2 linked regions of the Coturnix japonica genome follow. The protein of the gene in region 2 interacts with the protein of the main gene of each other region in a biochemical or structural test. Links are inferred from orthologs where the notes say so. Each region holds a gene or a part of one and is shown on either strand. Other genes may lie near its edges.

Evidence for each region.
Region 1: the proteins of CTTN (region 2) and ACTR3 form a complex in vitro, tested with the Homo sapiens proteins (3 studies listed by BioGRID). The link is inferred for Coturnix japonica from reciprocal best matches to the Homo sapiens genes CTTN and ACTR3.

Annotation. Positions count from the first base shown.
Region 1 is NC_029522.1:26,867,305-26,871,128, forward strand, and holds part of ACTR3 (actin-related protein 3), read right to left. Parts: intron 2,615-3,824; coding exon 2,490-2,614; intron 1,943-2,489; coding exon 1,832-1,942; intron 364-1,831; coding exon 268-363; intron 1-267. UniProt on the Homo sapiens protein: ATP-binding component of the Arp2/3 complex, a multiprotein complex that mediates actin polymerization upon stimulation by nucleation-promoting factor (NPF).
Region 2 is NC_029520.1:6,901,058-6,904,840, forward strand, and holds the end of CTTN (src substrate cortactin), read right to left. Parts: coding exon 3,775-3,783; intron 3,143-3,774; coding exon 3,071-3,142; intron 2,487-3,070; coding exon 2,350-2,486; 3' UTR 695-2,349; downstream 1-694.

The sequences.
Region 1 (3,824 bases), on a different chromosome or scaffold from region 2:
GTCTTCTGATGCTTTTTAAGCATATCCAATATAAAGACTCTTTTTGCTGCTTCATCTTGAACAGGACTCAGCTTTTAGCCTACAACCACAATTGTGGTGTGTTTTGTTTAAGGTGCAGCAAGATTTTTATATTGTGTCTAGAGTCCTAACTCCATACCTAGAGCTGAGTAACATACCTAGATAAACATCCAGCAATGGAAATGGTGACCAGAAGCACAGAAGAATGCTTCAAGAGTCATTTAATATTTGAAATAGCTCTGCTCTTACCTGAACAGCAATATATAGTCCTGGAACATTGAAAGACTCAAACATGATTTCAGCAGTATATTCTCTATTTTCTGGAGTATTTAATGGAGGTTCAGTCTATGAAATAAAGAAAAACATTTGACATGCATTCAGATCAAACATTTAAACTTCTCTCAAAAATCACCTAGAGCTAAATTTTGAAAGATGACTCATTCAAGAACAGCATGTAAAAATAATCGAGTGCAAAGGGGGTTATTAAAGGCAAATGTTGTAATGAAGAAAATCAAGGAACACCCATGGCACGAACAGAATTACTGCAAGTCACACTGCAAAAGCACAATGCAAACAGAAAGAGCAGAAATGAGAAACAGAGTAATTACTGTTTAAGAATTTACATCAGTGGTCCTATCTATCCCTTGGTCAGCTTATTATAACGCATGTTTTCACAAAGAATCAAAGACCTTGCATTTTACATGTTTAGGTTTAAGTATGCAAAGTACAGATACTAAAGAAAATCAGAAATTCACTGAAGAAAAAAGCTACTTTTCTTCAAGAGGCAATGATTATAAAACTAAAGTTTATATCAGCCGTTGTAGAAATGTGTTTAACAGAGCAACAATGTGCTTAACAGCACACAATGATATAACTATAAATTTTGTATGAGTGCCATGCAAACAAGCAACCCTCTCCTCTAAAAGAGCATTTTGAATAGTGCCAGAGAATATCTGAGCAAAAGCATCTATCTTTTGTTGCATCAACCATGTAAGGGTAAAGACAGGAGGGAGTCAGACTCTTCATAAAGGTGGTACATCAAGAGGTCATGGAAACCAACAGCAACATGGGAAACTCTAATTACTTATTAGGAGGGAAAAAAAGGCAGTGTGAGGGTTGGTGAAGTAGTGGGAGACGAGCCCACATGTTATGGCACCTCAATGCCTGGAGATACTCAAAGCTTGGATGAAGGGCCCTGAGCAATTAGATCAAAGGGTGCAGTTGTATTAGTTTATATAACAAGAACAACCAACGCACTCAATTCCAAACTTGTGATCTAAAATTCAAACTTAAAAATACTGTTATTTCAATGGCTTTAAATGAAATGCTAAGGAACAGGAGAGACTTCAGAACATCTGACCTCAGTTCAGGCCTGACATGTCCACATATCACAATCAATCCTTCTGAACTTAATAAAGAAAGGAGACAAAATGTCACCCTAGATACACTAACCAGGTGGCAGTACTATAAAAAACAAAATTATTGCAATGACATGAAGTCAAAACATAGAGGTACCCAAATGCAAGCACCACTGCTGAGTTCAGTGGATAAAGAATAAAAGAGGGAGAAGACAGAGGTGCATTGGTGTGAAAATTAAGGAAGGAAAGAAAGCTTGCAGTTCAGACTCAATTTCAGCACTTTCAGAAAGCTGAAGAAATGTGAATATGATAAGCCAAGCGCCAGGGAAGTTTCATGTAATTTATATTTCCTTTATTTTTCAAGGTAAGCACATCCATATTTGAGAATTATTCCACAAATCAGCACAAAGTTCTTGTCATATACTATTTCACAGACACGACATAATTTTACCTACCAAAAGAAAATAATGGTCCTCGGGTTCTGCCCTTAAATACTTAAAGATTACTTGCTCCATAAACCTTTCCATCAGGTCCCAGTCTTCAACTATACCATGGCGAATGGGCCACTGTTACAGAACAATACCAAAATGTAACTGGAAACAAACTTAAAAACAATATTTTCAATTGCAATACAGGAACTTTATCAACATCTAAAAACCTTGCATTAGGTTGTCTCTATCCCAACCTGACATCTATTTGAAATTCTGATCACGGAGAAAACAACATATTAAGTGTTTCTCAGTGCAACAAAATGGTGGTACCGGGAAAAGTAATATGAAGATAAACCTTAGGATCCCCTTAGACCAGTATCCTGATTCTGATGTGGCTGATAGAACATCTCAAGGAGCAAGAAAGCATCTTCTATCTCCTCCCAACACTCTCTCGGCCACCCTTCATTTCAAAAGAAACACGCTGATATGAAATATTGTGTCCTCCCCACCCCCATCTTCCAATTCCCAGAGACTCCTGAAGGCCAGCAAAACTGACTTAATATCAAACGTTTACAATAGTTTCTAAGAAAATAAGATTACAGTTCAAAAAGCATTTACAAGCTTTGTACTGTATGCTTGATGATTTCTAACAGTATTGGAAAATCTTAGTGTCTCTCAGTACCTTGGTTGCGTAAGTTGGTTTTTCTATTGCTTCATCTCCAATAAAGAAGTCTAAATCATCAACGCCTTTCAAAACCCTTCGTTGTGCTTGATCAACCACTTTTGCTGATTCTTTGATAGCAATACCTTTAACAAAGAGAACAAATGATATTTTAGATTATACATCCAGCACTGAGAAAAACAGGAACCTTAATATTGTGAAATAGGAAAATACTGCAATTATATTCATCCTTTTGTTCTGGCACAAGCACAGAAAAGCCAATACACTAACAATTAGTACTATAAAACTCTTTTGCTTCAAGGAATAACTGGCAAAATTTAAGAGACAGCATGTTGGTAATTTATCCTTCCATAAAAATTGCTCATTATGAAGAACAGAGAAAAAAAAAAAAGAAAAAAAAAAAAGGAGAAATACTGCTAAGGCTAAAAATGGGACTCAGGGAAGATGGATCAGCGATGAGATACCGCAAGAACACAGATGTTCTTTTCTCTCCTCTTTTACATCAGCTCCCAGACTGACCGGGTCACAGTGCCGGCAAAACCTACTGTATTTTTTCCAAGTCTTAAAATACCAGTGGGAAATTTGCAGAAATAAGAACCAAGCATTAATATCCGCTCCTATTACTTAGAAGTTGTCATGTGAAAGCTCTCTCAAAGGCAGAATTATTTCAATCCTCACCTTCACCCAAGTGTTGCTTGACCAGAACCAAGCCAAGCTCAGAGCCTGGGGTCACACAGAGCTACAGGATTTGGAAACATGTAGCACATGAGGCTAATGCACCCCAGTGCACTGGGAGGCCACAATCTTCTCCCTTTTCCTCCCTTCTGTGCAGCAACAGAAGGGCTGTGCAGCCAGTGAAAATGAAGTGTTGCAAAAAACTGAACAAATATAACAAAAAGCATTATTTTGAGCTCATCGGGAGGAAAACTGCATCATATCACAACTTCTGTAGCAGCCTACAAGAGAGGAGAGAGGAAGTGGGAGCCAAAAAGCAGAGGGGTAGGTAAGAAGAAGCTGAAGTTGTGCAGAAGATGTTGCAAGGCCAGTTTGCCGCAAGCAAAAAACAGCTTCTTGCCAAATATTTTTCAGGGCTTGCAGACTCGGGGACAGCTTTGCTGTCCAGATGTATGTTATCTTCATGTAGTTTCAAGTAAGTCATCAGCTCTTGCCACAACATTCTAAAAGCTTTCACATCCCACAGGCTTCACCCTGAGAGAGCTCAACACACAGCTGGTCAGTGCTGGTAGTGAAAGTCAGAGGTGAGAAAAATAATCAGAATGGAGCACGAAAACACAAGCAGGAACATAAATCTTGCTTTAATGGTGCTGAAGGTAG
Region 2 (3,783 bases):
TGAAACTGAGAAGTGTAAAATCATCGAATAAGCAATGAATAGTCAGTGCACCGCTGCCTACCATTACTCAAAACCTGAGCAGGATGAGAAGCGACAACCACATCACATTAAGGCACAAATAGGTTCAAGGCTCAGCCATTAGCAGAAATAAACAGGGCTCGTTTTCTCCTCACATCAATTAAAGGGAAAGAGGGCTGCGCCAGCCGCTCTGATGATCTGAATGATTTTCATTCAGCCAGTCTGAGGTGTGTTTCACCAGAAGTATTTCAGCTAGCTTGGGCAATGACAATCAATGAGAAAGAGTGATCTTAAAGCCTCAAGGCCTTGAATGCATCACATCTCATAGTTGTAACAGTGCAGTCATAATGTTGCTACCTACATATACTTTGAGACGGGTTGGAAGAGCCAAGCAGGCAAACCCTCATCTCTCTACTGACTACAAAACCCCCATCTCCCTGCTGTGAGTGTCATGGTTTTATGGAATAAAAATAAATGACAAAGCTACTGTGTTTCTGAGGAAAAGAATTACCCGGAAGGCAGTGGCAGCCTAGAAGAACATAGCTGCCCTTCACTACAGTACCAAGCACCACGCAGCAGCTCTCCATAGGAAGCATCCGATGGTCCCAGATGCAGATCGATGATGGGATGAACTACCTGTAACGGACTAACAAAGGGACTTAAAAATACAAAAATATTACATGCAAATGGTTCAAAAAGTTTATTGAAGATTTAATTTACAAAAATCATATCTCCCCTATGTGGTGTTCTATGCAAAATTGGATAAAATAAATTGCATATAAAACCCAACCCTAGTAATGCAAATACAACAGAGAAATGAGACCATGGAAAGGAAAAATATATATATAATCATGATGCACACATGACATTCATTAAGGATTGTCCCAACCATCCAAGAATCGGTTCAACACAATGCCTTCCAAGATACATTATATATTTTACCATTTTATACAGGTCTCCTATATTCCATTGGTCCAAAGTTACAGTTTAAAAAACCTCTTTGCGTTCTTTCTTAGCTACCGTATCAGTTCTGCTTTTCTCACTTGATCAGAAGGTGGAAACAGACGGTACATACATGTAACATGTGCACTACTAGATGCAGTTTACTATCTTTGGTAGGGACCCTAAACCTGCAGAGAAATCAGCTTTCTAGAATGACAGAAAGTTTGGTTTTAGTTTTGGCAAAGAACAGGTTTAAACCCATTGTTTAGTCAAACGCTACCGGCAGTTTCTGCTGAGCATACAAAAAGTACAGACGTCTCTTGCGTGGTTTAAAAACTGAGATTATTTATAAGGGTTTCAAAACAAATTATTTATATTAATAATCTTCAACTCAAATACGGTTACGTAAAATGTTATTACTGCACAGCAGGCCCGCCCGTTTCATTGTATGAACAAAGGATGCACTGCACACAAAATGACCGCGATTCCGTCTTGCCTTTTTTCCTCCCCTTTAAAGAAATGAGACTATCCCTTGTATGCAGTCACACAGATTTGGATGCTGGTTTCCCTTTCGGCAAGTAGGAATTTCACTCAGTAACTCAACACTCGTACAGTAATTCTTTCAAGTTTTCCCGTGAAAGTGGGGAGAGGAATTGAAACAGAAAGCAAATAAATTGAGGACAGTCAGCGTTAGAGTGTTTTGCTGTCCTCCTCTGAAATAACATGAAGAGAGGGAGCGAGATGAGAGAAAAAACAAACAAACAATGCAATATACTAGAAACTTCACTTTAAAAGAGAAGGAAAAAGTAACCGGACTGTTTCCTTCATAACATTAATATTCAGTAAATATCGGAGAGTACTCAATTAACTGCCATTAGCTGTAACTTTCAAGCATCCTCTTCACTTTTCCACATACTATCGAGAAAACAAAAGGAAGAAATTATGCCCCTTCCCAGTCCTGCCCGCCCCATTTTCTTAGTGGAAATGCAACTAACCTGCACGGCCATGATTTTCCGAGCTGAAAACACTTAGTGGAAGACTAACTAGACTTAAACACTAGGTAAATCTGCTCACTTATGAGTAAAACATGCAATATTATGACAGACAGCTAATTGTCCTCGGAAAGGCTTTTTATGACAATCGCTAATTTGGCAGAGAATGTTTCCAAATGCATGAAAATCATTTTAAGAGCCTTAGTGAAGAACAGAGTAGTTACAATATATTAGCAACTTCTGTGGCATAAACATTTTAAAAAGCAATCGGCAAAGTATTAAATATAAAAGCAATATGTATATACCCCTCCATTCTCAGAAAAGCATCATGATTTGTAGTGTACTAAGTCAGATTTATTGACCGAGGAATTAAGGCATAACCAGCAGACAACAGTCTCTATTGTCTCAGCTCCACATAATTCGCTGGGAACAACCCGTATCGGCCTTTGCAGACGCCCCTCCACCAGCCATCATCTATCATCTCTATGTTCGTGATGATGTCATCTGGATCAAAGGAGATCTCATCATCACCCGCTGGAGAGAGAGCAGAAGAAAGCTCAGTGTTCGCACAGGACCGGTCTCACTATACTCTCATTTACAGCCCACTAAAGATGCCAAGAACACCCAACACCCTGCCTCCCATCAGGGCTGTGAAACAGGGAACCGGGCAAAGACAAGCAGCACAGACAGCTGCTTTCTCATCCACAGTGCTGACGCCACTGATGACTCCCGCCTGCTTCACTTTAGGTACACTTCTAACTCAGAGCAGCAATTGCTGCGTAACACCCTGAAAACCACTCTTTCTTGAGCTCTCCCCAGATTTAACTAGAGGAAATCTAAACTACTCACACCAAGGCTATAATATGAGTGTTAACACTTAGTCAAAAAGATTTTTTTTTAAATCTCTGTAATTTCTAGAAGCGGTGGATGGCAGTTTTCAGAAACATCTCAATGTTGCTGTTAAATCAATAAATGTCCTCTTTCTTATTAAACGTTCTTAATGCTTCATATCTTCATACACTGATACAAGAGACTACAAAAGGGTAGGAAAAGAAAAAGATCTTGACTCAGCTTTCCAAAATAGGAGTTTTCACAAGATGAACAAGAGCTGTGCTTACCAGCCTGATAATCGTAAAGGGCTATGGCTGTAATTCCAAGTTCATTTTCATATTCGTCGTAAGTATTTTCTTCTGAGGGAGAGAGAAAGAAGAATAATTAAAAGCATAAAGCATACTACCTATCATCCTGAGCTTTTTCCTGTGGTATTCCTCTTGTCATTTTAATTCTAATGACACACAGAAAGAAGGGAACAAATTGATGTACCTTCTGAGATGGATTATTTTTTCCTAAACTACATACAATTAAATCCTGACACGAACCATTCTCACCTAGGCATTTCATACAGTATAAAAAATAAAAATTATTACTAGCTTTATAGCACTTAAGAATGTGACAGACCAACAACTGAGCACAAGATCAGCATGTAAGAGTATTTAATACAAACTGTTACACGTGCATGTTTGGGGGTGTGTTTAAAGAAGCGATGTGTACTGAATTTTCAGAGCAAATATAATTTTACTAACCAGAAGAGGTGAAAAAAACAGGAATTCAAAGGGCCTGTATTCTTTTAGTGCCACCAGCTTATTAGTTTTATCTTCATCTCCTAACTGATGTTTGTTGGTGGGGGATCTTCAAAGCCTCAGCAGACAAAGACTTCAGAAAACGAGGACCGTGTGATACTAGCACAACTATCCATCGGGTCACTCCCCAAAGAATAGAGTTTTCTTCATCAAAGGTTTCACATCAGATACGAATACTTTACCTGCTTGGT